4 linked regions of the Schizosaccharomyces pombe genome follow. The gene in region 1 interacts genetically with each later gene. Each region holds a gene or a part of one and is shown in the gene's direction. Other genes may lie near its edges.

The links.
Region 2: mutations in alg12 (region 1) and gmh2 together harm fitness more than expected from each alone (negative genetic interaction), as found in Schizosaccharomyces pombe (one large-scale study listed by BioGRID).
Region 3: mutations in alg12 (region 1) and ste20 together harm fitness more than expected from each alone (negative genetic interaction), as found in Schizosaccharomyces pombe (one large-scale study listed by BioGRID).
Region 4: mutations in alg12 (region 1) and gid8 together harm fitness more than expected from each alone (negative genetic interaction), as found in Schizosaccharomyces pombe (one large-scale study listed by BioGRID).

The regions. Positions count from the first base shown.
Region 1 is NC_003423.3:1,082,761-1,087,121, reverse strand, and holds alg12 (dolichyl-P-Man:Man(7)GlcNAc(2)-PP-dolichyl-alpha-1,6-mannosyltransferase), read left to right. Parts: upstream 1-1,767; 5' UTR 1,768-1,803; coding exon 1,804-1,962; exon of another isoform or gene 1,963-2,010; coding exon 2,011-2,995; intron 2,996-3,040; coding exon 3,041-3,537; 3' UTR 3,538-3,806; downstream 3,807-4,361. Other genes in the region: F1-ATPase gamma subunit atp3, read right to left, coding at 202-1,027, 1,107-1,186; DNAJ domain-containing protein Mas5, read right to left, coding at 4,180-4,361. UniProt on the Schizosaccharomyces pombe protein: Mannosyltransferase that operates in the biosynthetic pathway of dolichol-linked oligosaccharides, the glycan precursors employed in protein asparagine (N)-glycosylation.
Region 2 is NC_003424.3:167,211-171,670, reverse strand, and holds gmh2 (alpha-1,2-galactosyltransferase Gmh2), read left to right. Parts: upstream 1-1,615; 5' UTR 1,616-1,820; coding exon 1,821-2,861; 3' UTR 2,862-3,905; downstream 3,906-4,460. Other genes in the region: ATP-dependent chromatin remodeller/ubiquitin-protein ligase E3 Rad8, read left to right, coding at 1-699; alpha-1,3-galactosyltransferase Otg1, read left to right, coding at 4,136-4,460.
Region 3 is NC_003423.3:2,473,835-2,480,973, forward strand, and holds ste20 (target of rapamycin complex 2 subunit ste20), read left to right. Parts: upstream 1-2,044; 5' UTR 2,045-2,304; coding exon 2,305-6,234; 3' UTR 6,235-6,628; downstream 6,629-7,139. Other genes in the region: SPOM_SPBC12C2.03C (methionine synthase reductase), read left to right, coding at 1-1,511; SPOM_SPBC12C2.01C (uncharacterized protein), read left to right, coding at 7,097-7,139. UniProt on the Schizosaccharomyces pombe protein: Component of TORC2, which regulates multiple cellular processes to control cell growth in response to environmental signals. TORC2 is required for cell survival under various stress conditions.
Region 4 is NC_003424.3:4,594,540-4,597,890, forward strand, and holds gid8 (ubiquitin ligase complex subunit protein), read left to right. Parts: upstream 1-1,702; 5' UTR 1,703-1,899; coding exon 1,900-2,000; intron 2,001-2,064; coding exon 2,065-2,260; intron 2,261-2,304; coding exon 2,305-2,730; 3' UTR 2,731-2,841; downstream 2,842-3,351. Other genes in the region: DNA repair protein Rhp41, read right to left, coding at 1-1,250; tea5 (serine/threonine protein kinase Ppk2), read right to left, coding at 3,028-3,082, 3,141-3,351. UniProt on the Schizosaccharomyces pombe protein: Component of the GID E3 ligase complex recruiting N termini and catalyzing ubiquitination of proteins targeted for degradation.

The DNA.
Region 1 (4,361 bases):
AAAAGATGGACGTAAATTTATTAAGAACAAAAGGTAAGCTTAATCTGAACGTTTTCAATGAATTACGGTTCAAATGGTATAAAGGTAAAAAGTTAAGCTAAATAGACAAGAAATATCGTTGACTTCAGCGCTTATATTTCACAAACTTCTTTAATTTAAAAATCTTAACATGCATTTGAACCTTACCAAAGAGATCAAGAATTAAGCCAAAGAGTTTGCACCAGTAACGATATCGATAAGTTCGTTAGTAATGGAGGCTTGACGTTGACGATTATATTGGATGGAAAACTTGTTAATCATATCTCCAGCACTCTTGCTTGCATTTTCCATGGCGTTACGACGAGATGACATTTCACTGCAATGAGCTTCCGCCATGGCAGAAAAAATAGCATTGGCAAATGCAAATTCCATGAGTGGTTGATGGACTTCATCACTTACCTCGTATGCAGAGAGATTGGGGGATTCATTGATGGCCTTAGTTGTATACAAGTTCTTCATCACAGTTTCAAACGAGACAGCGGAAGCAAACTTGTTATAGACGAGAACAATTCTATCATAGTCTTTAGCATGTTCCAAAATGTTACTAGAAATTTGTAAAGCTTCTTCAAAAGAAGGACTAGCTCCACCAATGTGTGCAAAAGTCAAGTAGAAAGATTCGGGACAGAAACGAAGTAATTGAGTGCGAACTTTTTCTCCCAAAATACACAAACTTGTGTTCTCAAATGTCTTAGGATCATGTAGTTCTCTACGGATAAGACGAGAGATTGAAGAATGAATACCACCACAAAGACCCTTGTCACTAGAGCAAGCAACCATAAGAGTTTTACCCTCCTCAGGTGCTTTAGTTCCAGCCTCCTTAAACACTTCATCAGATACACGATAGTATTTGTTAGAAGCTTCCATAGCACGTTGAGCCCTAGTAAGCTTAGTTTGAGCTACAGTTTTGATGGTCTTGGTAATCTTTTCAATGTTCTTAATAGACTTCAGCCTTTGTTCAATCTCTTTTAGCGTTGCCTCACAAGGAGAACTATAAAAAATCGTTAGAAAAAATGCATTCAACTTCGAATATGTTTGTGAATCACAAAAAGTAAACCTAAACAACATACCTAGCGTGAAAACCCCGAAATCCAACTACAGATATACAAGGACGCATCCGAGACGCCTGAGTTAGCGTTTGACGAAGCATAATGTTCAATTGACGTTAGCTTTTATTGATTCCTGTTTCGTAATGATATGGGGGGAGGTTTGGTGTATACCCGTGGTAAAGCATGCTATTGGAACCGACGAATCTATCGTTCTATAGACCGTACTAGCAACGATTTTCAGGAACGATAAGAAGAAAAATTAGTTTAAATAATAAATGAAATGCAATTATATCTCTCACCTTAATTATAATAGCACGTTTTCTATAATGAATATTCCTCCAAAACGCTATACGTTAAACTACCATGGTAAATCAGTTAACGAGGATCGTTGTATTCTTTCAAAGTTTCCCTAAACAGAAGGAATAATTAAATTTTGATGAAAGATGTGAATTTCGTTTTGCAAATAGTAGAGGTAATTAAAATTTAACATATAAAATGTTCGATTAAAAGAGGAGAAGCAGATACTTAACGTACACAAAGATGCAAAGTTAGAAGACAGTGCAGCGAACAACCCTTGTTTATAACAAATAAATCATTACCTTGAATCTCCTTAAACTAGATTTAGCAAAATTAATCGTTGCTTTATTTACGTATATTCATTCACCTTTGCTCTTTCTCCAATAACTATTTGTATGCTTTCAATAAATGATGAAGCGGGATGACTTCTAAAGAGAGCATTTGTTGGTATTTGGCAAATATTTTGCTTGTGACATGCATAGGGTATTATTCGTACAAAACTCCGTTTACAAAGGTAGAAGAGTCGTTTGCTATGCAAGCGATTCATGACATTCAGACGTATCGTTGGGATTTGTCAAAGGTAGTAGTTGATAATTATTTCCTTATTTAAATTACTCACATATTTTAGTATGATCATCTGGAGTTTCCAGGAGCCGTTAAACGGAGTTTCATACCGAGTTTGTTTATAGCAGTTTTGTCCTATATACCTTCTTGGTTTGTTAATCCATTACTTGCCGCTAGATGGACAATTGGGTATTTAAGTTGGGAGAGTATGAATTCTGTAAGCTGCTCCATTAGCAAACGATTCGGCACATTGTCTGGAGCACTGTTTATACTGTTTAGCTGCGCTCAATTTCACCTCGTGTACTATATGTCCAGACCATTGTCAAATATTTTCGGACTAATAGCTACGAACCACTCTCTTTCTTTGTTACTTAAAAATAATTATTACGGCTCTATCAGTATTTTAGTTTTTGCCGCAGCGATTGTTAGGTCCGAAATAGCTTTACTTCTAATGTGTTTGATTCTACCATTATTGCTTCAGAGGAGGATTACTTTATCAAAATTGCTACTCGTTGGTATTTCTTCTTCATTAGCAGCAGTGGGAGCTTCTTTTCTCATTGATTCCTATTTCTGGGGGGCTTGGTGTTGGCCTGAATTAGAAGCTTTCTTATTCAATGTTGTTGAAGGGAAATCTTCAGATTGGGGAACAAGCCCTTTTTACTACTACTTTGTGAGACTTCCTTGGCTATTTCTCAATCCCACGACATTGCTCTTCCTTTTAATCAGCTTTGTTTACATCAAGCCTGCTCGTCTTTTAATATATGTTCCCCTTTTCTTTATATTTGTTTATTCATTTTTAGGCCATAAAGAATGGCGCTTTATTATCTATTCGATCCCTTGGTTTAACGCAGCTAGTGCAATTGGGGCTTCCTTATGCTTTAATGCCAGTAAATTTGGCAAGAAAATATTTGAAATTCTAAGGTTAATGTTTTTTTCGGGGATAATCTTCGGGTTTATTGGAAGCAGTTTTTTGTTATATGTTTTTCAATACGCTTACCCTGGTGGTCTAGCATTAACTCGTTTATATGAAATTGAAAATCATCCCCAAGGTAAGTTCAACTTTTTCACCAATTAGATTATTCTAACGTACTTAGTTTCTGTACACATGGATGTATATCCGTGTATGACAGGTATAACTCGATTTTCACAGCTTCCATCGTGGTACTATGACAAAACTGAGGATCCTAAAATGCTTTCAAATTCTTTATTTATTTCCCAATTCGACTATTTAATCACCGAAGATCCCGAATCATATAATGATACTTTTGATGTTATAGAATCCGTTAATTCCAACACGAAAATTCCCATCCTTCCAAAATGGTTAAGTAATCACATACCGCGAGAAATCTCCATAAGAAATCCAGCACAGCCCGTTTACATCTTGGCAAACAAAAAAGCACGAGCAACTAAACCTGCCGCAGTTGATGACTACTCTTCATTCATCGGACATAAAGTTGACGAGATTAAACTTTGGCCTCCTATTTATAGGGTGGTATCTCCTGACACATTGTTGACAAGAGATTACCGGGAAGACCGTCTGAACTTTTTTATTGACAAAGATCGGATTCTAACGCATATCACCCAGGGATGATAGTTTAGTAAGAAAACGAGAGTAAAATTTTTTCAAGGTATATTCTTCAAGTTTTACGATTTTGTATTTACAGTTACAATTTAGTAGCATCCCCCACTTGAATTGTATTGCAACGATAAGTAGAGTGAATAAACATAATTTTAGTTCGCAGACAATTCAAAGTGCAGAAGCGCATCAAAAATTATTTACTACTTTTTCCAAAAGCCGTAATTGTAATTGTCTCACAAATACTAAAATTTTACAAACAAAGCAAGCAAGATCTAATTTATGTATTCATATTTATAAATCGACTTTTTGCAGTCATTATATTTATTGAAGCAGCGTATTAACGAAGTATAAAGACCAAGATAAGAACCGAGAGAATAACTATCAAAGGCAAGTATGTTAGATATGCCGAAGCTAGATATCAAACATCTTTATGAGATAAAAGAAAACTAACACCAAATGAGGGGAATGAGTTTACAGGATGAAAAAAAGGAACAAGAGAATAAGGTATACATGCAATAGCAACTCGAAACCTAAGGAAAAGATTAGGAACATCTGAAAACAAATAATTGTCTAGGCTCTTCTTAAAAGGATAACGAATCCAAATGCTGTCAATTTTGAAAAAATGAATGAAAAGAAATTCAGAATAAGACAGGTTTACTGTTGAGCACATTGAACACCGGGGTGTCCACCTTCTTCATCTTCATCTTCATCCATCGAAGTGGCAGTAGTGGGGTCCACGTTATTGTCAATGCGAACCTTCTCAGTAGGATCGACAGTTGCCAAAACACATTCCTCAGTGTGAGCATTTTTGGGAGCGCTCTCAATCTTACGGGGAG
Region 2 (4,460 bases), on another chromosome or scaffold:
TTGTCAGAACATATTCAGTATCAAAAAAGAAGAAACATAATTCCTCCGCTTTGTCATACATGTCGTCAACCCTTCAATGAGCAAGATGTCTATAAACCTTTTTTTGTCAAAAATAACGGAACACAGTCTACGCTTTTAGTCGGTGAGGAAGTAAAATGGAAATATTGGAATAGGCTACAATCAGTGAAACTTAATGGCCTTTTAGGACAATTGCGTCAATTAACTCATAGTTCTGAACCTGAAAAGGTCGTTATCTTTTCACAGTTTACCACATTCCTGGATATTATCGCAGACGTTCTCGAGTCAGAGAAGATGGGGTATGCTAGATTCGATGGTACCATGTCACAACAAATGAGGTCGACGGCTTTAGAGACATTTCGAAATGATCCTGATGTTAACGTGCTGATTATCTCTTTAAAGGCAGGCGGGGTTGGTTTAAACCTTACTTGTGCCAACCATGTTTTTATTATGGATCCATGGTGGAGCTGGTCAGTGGAAGCACAGGCCATCGATCGTATTCATCGTTTAGGACAGGAAAAGCCTGTATTTGTGACGAGATATATTGTACGTGATACTGTTGAGGAAAGGATGCTCAAAATACAAGAACGCAAAAATTTTATTACTGGGACCCTGGGCATGTCGGAAGGAAAGCAGCAGGTTCAGTCAATTGAAGACATCAAAATGTTGTTTGAATATTAACAACGGTTTCACCAAGCCGATTAAAAGCTATCGTAAAAAAAAAGTATTTTCATATTATGCATATGAAATGCAATTGCTACCGTGGTCGTTGTCATGACTGTCAAATTCTAAGAGAGTATGTGATAAACAAACTGCGTTACAAGATAAATTATAAACTATCTACACCCCTTGGATTTGTTGATTCACGTCTATCACTAATGAATGCGAAATAGTCGAATTCGGTGCATAAGTAACAAAAGTATTAAGGAACGACAGTTTACCCTGGAGCTATACAATCTAAAGTAGTGAATGTGTAATACTTTATTCCATTTTTTGAACTCATAAATTTCCTTGGATGACTTACTTTTTTGTATTCATGATGTTGTTGCTGAGTATCATGGGCAAGGGAATATAAGTTTTAGCTGCTGCAGTGTAAAGGCTGGCTAATGTTTTGTTCAGTATATTAGAGATAGGTATAATTGTTAACTTTTATTCGATTTTTTTATTATTGTTAACCTTGTTAAATAGTAGTAGCGATTGTGATGGAAATCCGGTCACAGAAAGAAAGCGATGTGTATAATTCAACTATATTGGTCAGCCTCTCTCTTTGTTGAAAAGTCGAAGTAGTTGTTTAATAAGGTCAAGATATTTTGATGAAATCAGTGACACAAAATTAAATCCGAATATTTTAGCTAAGTTTTCATTCCATAAATTTCATTTTTCTAATAGCTACCCGTAGAAAGTTTTATAAGCAAGTAACGTGCCGGTTGCTGGGTTATAAAAATTTAGGCAAGGTTACGGTTGTCTCTACCATCGGCAAAGGAGCCGACGTTAATAAAATATTTAACAAAGCCTTTAAAAAATTAACGATAGCTAGTCAAAGGAAGCTTAACGCGTATTCAGCCTCATTAAGACAATCAGGAAGCTTTTTTTTACCATCAGCATATACCTCTAACCCTTTGATTTATTTTTATATCTCGAGATTTCGTTCGTTATTTTATAGGTCGTTTCGATAAGACCTTAATACAATCTGATTTAGTGGTTGTTTAAGATTTCGGAAAAGCCTTTTTTTCAAAAAAAGTTTTCCAGTTATTGTTTCATTATTTCTAATTGATTTACTGAAGAATTGTTATAACCTAAAGATGGCACTTATGTTATCCAGGATTCCACGTCGTTTTTTTTTCTTATTTTTAACGGTCGGCTTGATTGCTGGCGCGTTTCTATACTCGTTGATATATTTTGTGGACGTTGATTTGGTGTCGAAGGTTAACCAGTTGTATGATCAGCAAATTGCACCCATGCTCTCCGATGCTATTGGCACTCCATCCGTTAATCACTCGTTTGAGTTGGCGCCGTTAGACTCTCATTTGGTGGCCACAAGCACTACATTCCACGAGGCGTCATACGAGTCAGAGCCTCAGCAAAATCCTGCCAGTCAAAATATTGTCTTATTACTAGTTAGTGATGGACACACTTCTTACAATAATGGAGCTAATACGTTTGAAGAAGCTATACAGAACAGAGTTGACTATAGTACCAAACAAAACTACAACTTTGAGTATGTCAATGTTACTGGCCTCCCTATTCCCGCCGTTTGGTCCAAGATGCCCGCCGTCTTACAAACTATGAAGAAATACCCCAAAGCGGAATGGATCTGGTTGTTGGATCAGGATGCAATTATTACTAATACCCATCTTTCCCTTCAAGACTCCTTTTTGAAACCTGAGAACTTGCAAAAGACCTTAATTACTAATACCATCCTCACTAAACGGCCTATAAATGCTAACGGGGATTTGCGTTATACACCAAGTAATTATAGTTTAAAAGATATCGAAAATCTCATGGTCATAATCTCACAGGATCACAATGGATTAAACGCAGGTAGTATCTTGTTCCGTAATTCACCTGCTACTGCCTTGTTTTTGGATATTTGGACAGATCCTGTTGTTGCAGAATGTGCGAAAGCCAATAATGAACAAGACATGCTTGGATATTTGATTTCTAAGCATTCACAACTTGCTTCGCTGGTTGGCCTTATTCCTCAAAGAAAAATAAATGCTTTTCACGAAGGTCCGGAAAATATGGAATGGCAAAAAGGTGATTTGGTAATTCACTTTGCTGGATGTTGGGTTGAAAACCGCTGCGATGAACTATGGCAAAAGTTTTACGCCTTGATTGACTAAGTTGCTTATTCATTATATCCGTCTGTTTAATTTGTTTGTGTTTTAAAAAATTTTATATATATAAACAAAGCGCCGTATAATTTTCCGTCAATCTTCCTTTCTTTATCTGAATCTCTAATAATGTTTACTATTTTTTAATCTTTACATACCTAATTAATATAGCGGTTGTGCCATAGCAATCAAAGTTTCAGGTTAGTTTTTTATAGCGAGATATCTGGGAGTTTTGTTTTACACAATCGTCCATCAATAATTGTTATATATTGTATATATTTCACATTGACTTTGAAGCTGTTTCTGTTGGTTCAACTAATTTGCTTTGGCAATTTACCAATGCAATATTGAAGATTGGAATAACAGTTTGGCGTTAATAAATCTTTTTAATAATTTGCATTTCACCGCAGCTGCCATTTTCTGTTAAATGCTGATAGAAGTTTTATTGAATCATTCGTGTCGGATTATACTAAGTTTTTATTTATCTTGTTTTTTGGCCCTACAAAGTATTGGTATGTCCTTATTTTATATTGATTACACTGGCTTTTGGCCTTATAAAGATATAGATTAGTTGCTAAGTCTAAAAGATGTATTTTTTAACGGTGGTTCCATTACGTCTGTGCACCCACTGTTTACACTTGTGTCTTTACAAACCTAGAAGCATTTTCCGATTAATGAGGTCTATCAGGTCAAGGAGAAAGAATATTTGAATAGATTTATCGACAAAATATATTTCGTTAAATTTACACAATATTTACTTTACCAATAAGCTAAATGGTATTTCCAATACTTTTCCAGCTAACAGTCAGATTTTTCACTGTTTGAAACAACTTCACCAAATTAATTCATTAGTGTCAATTTCTATTACATGCTTAAGCTCATAATTTTCAACATCCAGATAGCTCGAAAGTTGACACCATTACACACAAACTAAGATGATTGTGAAAAAACAAAGCGTTAGGATTTGTAAAAGGCAATTCCACAATTTGAATTACAATACTGTAACTGAATATAGCGCGGCACATGGTACAAACAACGTGCTGGTAATAAATTGACAAATGCAGAGCAACCCGCGTGATGAAACATAAATCTCGGATATTTTTTCTTTAAAGGGTTGTTAACGCAAGTCGTTTAAGGGTAAAAGAAATAAATAAATTTTAGAGGGTAACATCCTCATAAAGGGAGTCATCTTTAGAGCCTTTTTTCATTTTTTTAAGGCTTTCGAAAATTTCACGTGTCTCAAATTCTATTGTTTCAGCGGTTCGTTGAATTAATCTCTTATCATGTCTCGAATTTCACTTTCAAATTTTTTATCTCTTCCGCGTTACAAATTCCTGTTGTTTTCTGTGGTTTTGATTATTGTGATGACAACCTTAGTGTTTAACGGACACGATTATAAGCAAACCCTTAATGACCGGCTTACTTCATTAAAAAACAACTTTGTTGAGGAAAATGATAATGCCGTCTTAAAAGAAGAGCCTGGCAAATATACGTATATGAGTTTGTTTACTATGCCTTCTACTGAAGAGGATTACTACTTCAACGCTACTAGGGTTTTAATTCACCGATTGAAATATCATCCTACTACCAAAAGTAAATACCCTATCC
Region 3 (7,139 bases), 1.4 Mb from region 1:
ACCCTACCTTCCAGGCTTTGAACATGGATCTAGGTCTTCTACATGAAAATATTACTCTTGACAGAATTCCCAAAGTTCCCGAGAATCATGTCTCTTTGATTGATATCGATGAGGCTCGTGCCAAAGAAGACCCCAACTTTCAAATTCATTCAACTCCTTCTAGAATGCCTCCTCACTATGTTCAACCACACCCTCCGTTCAGTGTCTTTCCCGCCCCTATACTAGACGTTCGTGAGCTCACTAAACCAGGTGCTGTCAAACGTGTGTTCCATTTTGAACTAGACGTTTCCAACTATCCCCTTCCTGAAGGCGAAGAGTGGATGGTTGGAGGGTCGTTTGGTGTAATGGCTCCCAACAACGAAGAGGATGTGGATGAGCTTTTACAATTACTTCATATCAATCCCGACCAGGCAGATGCCCCTGTCCTTTTAAAAACCGATGGAGGTCGTTGGCCCACCATCTGGGCAGAAGACACACCTAGAGAACTCGTTACAACCAGGCGTGAGCTTCTTAAATGGACCGTGGAGTTTATGTCTGTCGCCCCAAAAAAGCAGCTTATTCGGTTACTTGCCGAATACGCCAAGGATGATACCGAGCGGCAAGTTTTGTTGTTTTTGGTCAGTCGTTTGGGACAACGTGCTTTCTGTGATTTAAGGGACCACAACGTTACACTTATCACTCTGCTAAAGGCTTTCCCTAGTGTTCAACTTCCTCTTGATCACCTTTTAACCGTGCTTCCCCAGCTTATGCCTAGATGGTATTCTTTGTCAAACGATCCCAAGGTCAGTAATAATGTATTGGAATTTGCGGTTACAGTTGTTGAAATCAATAAAGTTGAAGGAGGCACTCGTTCTGGTATTGGTTCTGGTTTTTTGAAAAGATTGGCATTGAGATTTTTAAATGGTGAACGAGATCTCGTCCTTCCAATGTACCGCGGTCTGCACAAAAACGCATTTGCCACACATTTTGCTTCTGATGGCCCTATGTGCCTAATCGGTGCCGGTGTAGGTGTTGCTCCCTTTAGAGGTTTTGTGCAACGACGTCTTACAAATGCCACTTGTGCTGGTAAAGTTTGGGTTTTCCATGGATGCCGCGACCAAGAATTGGATGAGCTCTATCATGGTGAGTGGGAAAACCCGCTTCAAAAGTCTTCAGACGATGATGCATCTTCTACAGTCAGCCAACAAACCGAAACTGAAATGGATTCCTTCGAAGTTAAAAAAGACGGTACTAGTGGCCCCAACCATCTTGTTGTTGAATCACGTTCTCACCAACATGCCTATGTACAGGACGAGATTCGACACCGTGGTGACATTGTATGGAGTGTTCTTAGTCATCCTCATGGGAAGGTTTATCTTTGTGGTGGTAAAAAGGGATTTTTAGATGGTGTTGAAAATGCCTTGATTGATGTTTGCGTTCAATACGGAAAAATGAGCAGGCTGGAAGCTACCCAACAACTTGCTCTTTGGCAAAGTCCACTTAACCTTAAATACATAAAGGAGATTTGGTAAATGAATGAAGTTGTTTATCCACGTTACCAATATTTATTTTTTCGTTAAAATTTTTTTTTTGTTTACTATCTTTTCACATTATTTTCGATTCTTTTCTGTCTTTTTTATTATCGTTTCGTTTTAAAAAAATCTTTTTTGAAATGTTTCGAAAGCAATATTTGTATCTCAAAATGGCATTTTAATTCTATATTGGCTTGGGCATATCTGTTAAAACATTTTTTGTTTAGCCTTTTGTTTCCATAAATAAAAATATAAACAAATTTTAATAGTTGATTGTAGTAATATAATTTACTCATCTTATTCTCTTGCTTTGATTTATCCTTCATGTTTTCGTATACTGTTAACTAGCAATCTTGAGACTGTAAAGTAAACATTAAGGATTCGATTCTTTAGTGAACCAGTACCTAGTATCTAATTATTTATTAGCGAATTCTAAGGAAATTTGTTTTGCCCATTAATAGCGAAACATCACTCCATGTCGTACAATCGTTAACGCCGGTAACAGAACTCCGATTAAGTTCAGCCGTTGGGGTATCCATGAGCATACGAGCATAGTTCGCAAGCATTATCATTTTAGGACTCTTCACAATCTTAAGTTATTATTTAAGTGTTAATATCTTTAATTTTACTAGATTGCTTAAAAATTGAGAGTTTGACTAGCCCAGTAAGCAATCGCGTGTTGCACGCAATAAGTATTAGTACGAAAACATACTATCCCTTTATAAGGCTATTTCATGAAGGCGCTTATGGAAGGAGATAGCTTTTTTATTCCTGCTTTTAATGATCAGTGCTCATGAAACCTGTGCGAAGGGGACAAACCGATACTGCTTTGGATATAAGTTCCCATGCCAAAACTAATGGTGACTTTATCAAAAAAATGAATACCACTGATTCAAAAAGGCTCAAGTTACTTGAGGATTTGAAGGGAAAGCTCGAAGTTGAGTGCAAAATACGGGATGGCGCTGAAACGTTGCTGCAAGTCTTCGACACCAATTTTAAAAAAGAAACAAAAGAACGTAAAGAAATGTTAAAAAAGAAATGTACCGATGAGCTCGAATCATCTAAAAAAAAGATAGAGGAATTAGTTTCTAGCATTGAATCTTTCCAAGGAGAAAATGGTGAAGCAAAAACTGGCTCAACCAGTCTCACGAGGTCTGCTTCTGCGACTGTCAGTCGAAAGAGCTCATTGCAGGAAAAGTATAGTACGAGATTTTCTTACAAAGCAGGATGTAGCGATAGTTGCAGTGTTACAGTCAGTGGGACTGGTGAATTAATAGGTCCTACCAGAAATGCGCATAGCAATTTAACTCCTACCGTCATTCAAAGAATTGACTTTGAAAATGTCAACGAAAAAAATAATTCTTCTTCTGAAGATACTCAACCTAACGGAAAACGTCCTTCTAGTTTGCAATCGAATTTCTCACAATTTCCATTAAATCCTTGGCTTGATAATATATATAAGGCTTGTCTTGAAGGCAGTATGAAGGATGTAATCGATTCCTCAAATAATTTATGTGAATACTTACATGAACATTCTGATCCCGCTTATGCAAAAAACTTCTCCTTGATTACTCCGACCATACTTTCAATGCTCGAGTTGAATGTCTCTGAAGTTACGGCTTCTGTTTATAGACTACTAAGGCATTTGTTTCTTGACGCAACAGCATTCTCTTGTTGTCAAATGTTGAATTTACCTTGGATCTTGTCAAAGTCTCTACTTTCTGGTACCGATGCATATCAAATTGAACGAGAGCAAGCATTCCGACTAATCCGAACTCTTTATTTTCTTTCATCAACTGAAGGACATGAGGATTATCTTTCAGGTATTACGAGGACTATCATTTCAATTTGTGAGCATGTATCAGATGTTAGTCGTGGAATTGCTGTTGAAACTCTTATCGAGTTAATGATTATTCGACCAAAAATTTTATTTAAAGCTAATGGTTTAAGGGTTTTAATGATCTCCCTAATCGATGGAAGTATTTCTGAGAATTTAGCAGCTAGTGCTGCACTTGCATTAGTATATCTTTTGGATGATCCTGAAAGCGCTTGTTACGTAAATTTACCCTACGATATTGGCATTTTACTTTCACCTTTTACTAGTTCTTCTTCGCGAGATACATTTAATTCCTCTGAGGAACAGTCTGAACAAGCTGCAAAAGCCATGAAATCTTCCGCCAAAGTTGCCTCTGTTTTGCTTAATTCATGGTCTGGATTATTGGCTTTGTCTACCAATGATTTTCAGGCTCTTCGGTCGATTGTTGATACACTTCGGGTTCCATCCTTTGCTCCACGAAGCGATGTAATTGATCTTTTCTTTTTAATTTTCCAAGTTGAGTATTCAAGTTGGTCAGAGTCTTTTTTGGCCGGAAAACGATTAACAGTCGTTAAAAATCAGGCTGTATCTAATGATGATAACATAAACATGGTTAATATACCGGATGGTTCCAACAAAAAGTACATGTCGCTACGCCAACATTTTACAGCCGTCTTATTATTTATATTTTTGGAGCTCGGTTTGGTTGAATCTATTGTATGTATGATTAGGGCCAGCGATGACCCATCAGCCTCACGTAAAGCTACATATCTTCTAGGAGAGGTATTGAGGCTGTCTGATGAGCTACTGCCGATTCATTTAGGAGCCAAAATACAATCCTTGCCATCTTTATTTAATATGGCTTCTCAATTTACTGCCGAAGACAGGTTTGTTGCCACTTCTGTTCTTCAATCCATTGAAAGTTTGAATAGAGTTAAATTCCATTCTGCAACACAACCTTTCTCGCAGACAACCTCTCTTCTTTTTAAGGAGCAAAAAACTGATGGATCTTTTCGGGGGCAAAGACAGGTTGAGCATGTTAAATTGAAAATGGGCATGCAGATTGATGATTCACATTTTCGTAGTATGCTAGCTGAAACCAACGTGTTAGCTACAAAAAACTATCAAAAATGGCGATGGGATACACTTGTCCAAATTATGGAGGGTCCATTGCTAAGTCCGAAACGTATTGATGAAACTTTGCGAACCACAAAATTTATGAGACGGCTTTTAGCATTTTATAAACCCTTTTCCAACAGATTTTCTTCCATACAAAACACTAAACCAAATCAAAAATTTATAAAGGTTGGTTGTCTTGTTTTCAGGACTTTACTAGCCAATCCGGAAGGCGTTAAATATCTTTCTGAAAGCAAAGTGATTAAACAAATAGCAGAATCTCTTAGCCAGATAGACGGATATTCAGAACAGGTTTCTGAGCCGATTTTCTCGAACAGTAGGCTTCAGAAAACCCTCACCCACGGTTACTTTCCTATGTTAAAAGTATTGTCAAGCCAAAAGGAAGGTCATGCAATTATGGAACGATGGAGGATTTTTACTACACTTTACCATTTGACAGAATTGAGGAACAGAGACGATCTCATAATTATTTTTCTGACTAATCTTGATTATCGGCTAGAGGGGCACACACGAATTATATTTTCTAAGGCGCTTAATACCGGGCAACAGGCTGTACGCTTAACTGCAACCAAGCATCTTGCGGCTTTAATCAATTCTGAGTCTGCCAATGACAACTTAAATCACTGGGCAATTTCTCTATTGATATTTCAACTGTACGATCCTTGCTTGGAAGTATGTAAAACAGCAGTGAAGGTGTTGAATGAAGTTTGTGCTCGAAATGAAAACTTGCTGGCTCAAGTTGTTCAGCTTCAACCTTCATTGGCCCATTTGGGTGAAATTGGCTCACCTTTACTTTTACGTTTTCTTGCTACAACTGTCGGATTTCATTACCTTTCTGAAATTAATTTTATTGAACATGAACTCGATAATTGGTACCATCATCGAAATATAGATTACGTGGATTTATTGGAGCAAAATTTTTTCCTTTCTTTTGTTTCAAATCTCAAAATTATTGACAAGAAAAACAATGAACCAGATGAAAATATACTTCCCCTACACTTTTATGGCGAATTAGTCAAATCTCCACAAGGTTGTGAGGTTCTCGAGTCTTCTGGGCATTTTGAATCTTTTATGGGTACCTTGGTGGAATTTTACGATAAACCGTTAGGAAATGAAGCCATCAGGCAGTTAAAGAGTGCTCTTTGGGCTATAGGAAACATTGGAAAAACCGATCAGGGTATTACGTTTTTAATTAACCATGATACGATACCGTTGATTGTCAAATATGCCGAAAATTCATTGATTCCTACTGTTCGAGGAACTGCTTATTTTGTATTAGGCTTGATTTCCAGGACTTCTAAAGGCGTTGAGATACTCGAATCACTGCATTGGTATAGCCTTATGTCTTTAATGGGCACTTCACAAGGAATTTGCATTCCGAGACATGCTGGACAAGTATTATCAACTCCAAGGAGAAATGTTGAGTTTGTAAATGAGCGCGTGCCAACTCCTGAGTTTTCTTCATTACTTAGCTCTTTAACTAACTCAGAGAGAGAGGTAATTAGGCTCGTTTCCAATTTGTCAAACCATGTTTTAACAAACGAGTCAGCACGGCAACTAACAAAGATTCGTTCGAAAAATGCTAAAGTTTTCTCCTCTAAACGTTTGGTGAAAGCTTGTATGACCATTCTGGGAAAATTCCATTACCGTGTTCAGATTCAACAATTTGTATTTGAATTATTTCCTTACTCGGTTTTATTGTCTTCCTCAACCTCACAGGACTTAAATGAATCCCCGTCCAGGCCGAATAATTTGTCAATTTCCGCATGAACTCCAAATTTCCGAACCTTCACTTTTCTAAAATTTTTGTAAATTAATGATTTTTATGATTTCTTATTATCGTTTTTCTTCTGTTATTCAATAAGTTTGATCTTTAGTTTTCTGCTTATTCTTTGACCTTCCCTCTTTGTTTCTTTTCATAAGTTTATTTACTAAGTTAGACTAGTGTTTACATAAAAGGTGATTGCGCTAGGGTTAGTAATGAGTTTATAATTGTTTTTGGATGTTTAAATTATTAATCTAATATTTATAAGACATGTCTGATACTTGCGGATATTTTTTTGAATTTGTGTAGTTTAGGTAGGCCTGCTTAGCCCCTGGCCTCCATACGATAGTAATATGAACAAGAATATATTGCCTTTCATCTTTTCGTGCTAATTTTTACTTTGTACGCTGTTATTATCAATATAAAAATTGCGTACCACAAAGGTGTACTTATATGTAATACCCATGCTTAGCAAGTTATGCTCAACTTCCACATACAACGTATGCAACGAACGGCAGCCTCATGTTATAGTAAATTAGCAAATCCTATATAACTAAACGAAAGTGTATTTGCTTAACATATCGTGGAGTTTGGGCATATTTCTGCTCACAAGTAAATCTCATACAACATCGCATTTGGTTTTAATTTGTTTTGGTTGTTCGCAAGGAAGAAGATTATTCTTTAAAAAAAAGGAAATAAATTTATAAATATAATTTGAAAAAAAATATATATATATATATTTGGGTTTTTACACTCTTTTGACTACATAACTCGATAGGTTTTCGGATTTGTTTAATAGACAAAAGAAGGAAGTACGTTTAAGGGTTTATTTCTATGGAACATTATTGATTTTTTTTTTTTCTTGCTATGTACAATGTGACATACAGGTTACTTCGTCTAAGCTTGATTT
Region 4 (3,351 bases), on another chromosome or scaffold:
GATTGTTCAAGCCTTAGTAATTCCGCATCCTCTATAGCATCCATGTCATTATAAAAATCCCTTGGTTTTCCAATTTTAGAAAATATTCTATTCATCCAAGCCTTTCCAAAGGGAAAAATCTCGACTCTATTCTTTAATATTTTATAATAATGTAAACAATATTTTCGGGTAACATCTTTTACATACCCATTAGCCTCAATAGCAAATACATAAGTCATTTGATTTAGATGGTCACTGGAAGCCGGTTCAAACCTTCTGTACTTGCCAATGACACTAGCATCACCAAATGGATCAACACAAACCCATTTTTGCATAGCTTTATTAAAAGCCTCTACCCAAAAAACCGGTTTGGGAGAATCAATTACCTTTAGTTTTGTATCTTCTGTAACAATATCTGAGGCATCAAGATGTGAAAGATTTGAAAAAGAAGGCTGTATGATTTTCCTACGTTTGCGAAATCTAGAAGTAATGTGTGCACTTTCAGAGATATCGCTAGATGAATCATTTTCCATTTGCTGAGACCATGCCGGAACAATTTCATGACTACTTGCTTCATTTATGGCACCTTTAAATCGAAAAGATAAAACTTGTAGTGAAAAAACTAGTCTAGTTGGAACGTTTAAATTACGAAGAATAGATGCAAATAACTGGGTTCCATAATCTCTACTACCGGAAAGCAATTTTGAGTTTTTACAAAACTCCTCAAGGGATAAAGATTCAGAGATGAGGCTATTGTTTTGTAGTAAACCATAATTCGGTTTTCTTAATCCATTGGTAGTGATTTTATATTTCCGTTTCCAAACTTCGACGAGTCCAGCCAACCCGTGTAGGAAAGTTTTGTTCCGAATCATTTGTGACTTTTGAGAAGAGGGATGAAGCGAGACACGTATACCAGGAGGAATATATTTCACAAGATAATTTAGTCTATTGTCATCGCACCAAGTGTTTCGTGTGCAAAGATGATAAGTCAAACAGAGTAAGTGTAACTGATGAATTTGAAGACGAATCTTTCTATCAACGGAAGTGATCTTTAAGCGGCTACGTTTTTCAACCGTTCGATCAACGGTGGCCTCAACGTCTCCAAAATCATGAGTTGGTCGTTCTTGAATCAACCTTTCACCATGTACGGCGGATGAAAGGAGCGAAGAATTTAAAATAGGTGCAGTTTTAATATCATTATTAGGGAGACCAAGATCTAAATCTAACCATTCTTCATCATCACTATAGGTATTATCTTCGTCACTCATCATAGCATTTATATTTGATAGAAGCCAACTTTTTTCAGTATTAAGACTCGTTGCGCCCTTATTCTATTATATTATTTTAAAAAATGAAACATAAAAAACCAATGAAACGTTTTTGAGATGCGTAACTCTTTAAAAACACTAGGGAGCACGAGTTTATAAAGATACTTCAATTAAGTAGAATATAAGAAAATGTTTTGACCATTAATAATGCACGTAACACATGAGAAAAAGATTTGTATTTATTGATACGAAAAGTAGTTCATAACGTTAAGAAAAACAAATTCCTTTTCTATTAAAATCATAGCTAACGTTGAATTTGTTTATATACAGCGTTGTAGTGAAACCAAAAATCGCCGTTAGAGTACATTATATTTTAAGTTAGAAGTTTGCGTTGCATTTTGGTAAACGGCATATCTTTGAGGTAGCGATATGGCTACTTTGCAACTTCAATCTTTAGCATTGCACAGGCTATTCGAATTTCAAATTGCCTTTTTCAAGGGTTTACTATCTCTATCCTATATAAATTTCGTTAAATTTCTTTTTATCAAGAATTGAGGCTCGTTTATCCGGTCATAACTTTTGGTAGCTTTAAAAGGTCTCTTTGTTTAGGATAGAATAGAATTTGCTACCGTTCTCTCACGAGAGCTTAAAGATGGTAGGCACTTCTTCTTTAGATATTTCAATGAGCGGTAGCTCAAGTTCGGACGCAGAACAATGGGAGAAACAGACAAAAAGTGTCCATATCGATAATTCGTAAGTAACTGAAATAGTTGCTTCGCTGAACGTTACTGATGGTTACTAATCATTGCTTGTACAGAGACGTGAATTCGCTGATTTTAGATTATTTGGTGATTCAAGGTGACGAAGAAGCCGCAAAAACATTTGCTGAAGAAGCTCAAATTACGGATTATTATATTCCTCCATATGTAAAAGAACGTTTAGAGATTTGCGAGTTAATTAAATCAGGTTCAATTAACTCTGCAATATGCAAACTGAATGAATTGGAGCCAGAGGTATGCTGAAAGCAAGTAAGGATTACGAGTTAACAGCTACATAGATTTTGGACACAAATTCAGAACTTCTGTTTGAATTATTACGATTGAGATTGCTTGAATTGATACGAGAAGTTGTTGAAGAGAAAGATACCTCTGATTTAGCGGTAGAAAGATGTTTAAACTTTGCACATGAAAATTTAGCACCTTTAGCACCCTCAAATCAAAAGTTTTTGAATTCTTTAGAGTTGACAATGTCGCTTTTATGTTTTCCTCCTTCTTCCTACAGCCCTGCCTTGAAAAATGTTTTGAATTACAGCCAACGTGAGCGTGTTGCAAACCTTGCCAACGTTAGTATATTGAAGTCTCAAGGATTATCAAATGAGTCTAGGTTGTTGTCTTTGGTAAATTTTGAGCGCTGGTGTGAAAAAGAGGCACAAAGGAATTCGATTGAAGTGCAGAAATTTGTGCCCAAAGCATCCATAAAATGATTACTTTTTACGACCTTCCTCAGTTTATGCATTTATGTCTGTTACATCCATTTAACATAAGAACTTTTTTCGTATTGTTCTCACTAATGATAATTAAATTATTGAACTCACAAATGATAATATGACATTCAATTAACAAAGCCAATTTTTGTTGTTAAGCAACATCGTATAGTATCAAGTTACTGACAAGCAAAGCAAACACAACTTTTCCTTTTAAAAGTAAGGAGGGAATTTAATGGGTTATTAAATTAGCAATATTTTTTCTATGGCGAATAATTTGATTTTCTTCATTGGTAATCATAGATAACTGTAGCGAGATGCCTTTCGTTCTCGCAAATTAAGATTGTTTAGGCTAAAAAAAAAGGTTAGAATTGGATATAAACAAAAGTGTTCCAAAACTGAAAACTTACCAAATTTCAAAATTGAGCGTTTGTCGCTTTTCCAAAAAACTAGAAGTTTCCAACAACATATTGATATTAGGGCCTTGTAATGTTTCGGCTTGCAAGGTTTGTAAAAGGAATTCCTTAAATTCTTGGCTAATTAATCCACGAACTCGGTTGACTAAAACATTTGCATTCGGAGTTAGTTGGATGGATTGAATAGATTTACGAAAAAAGTTTG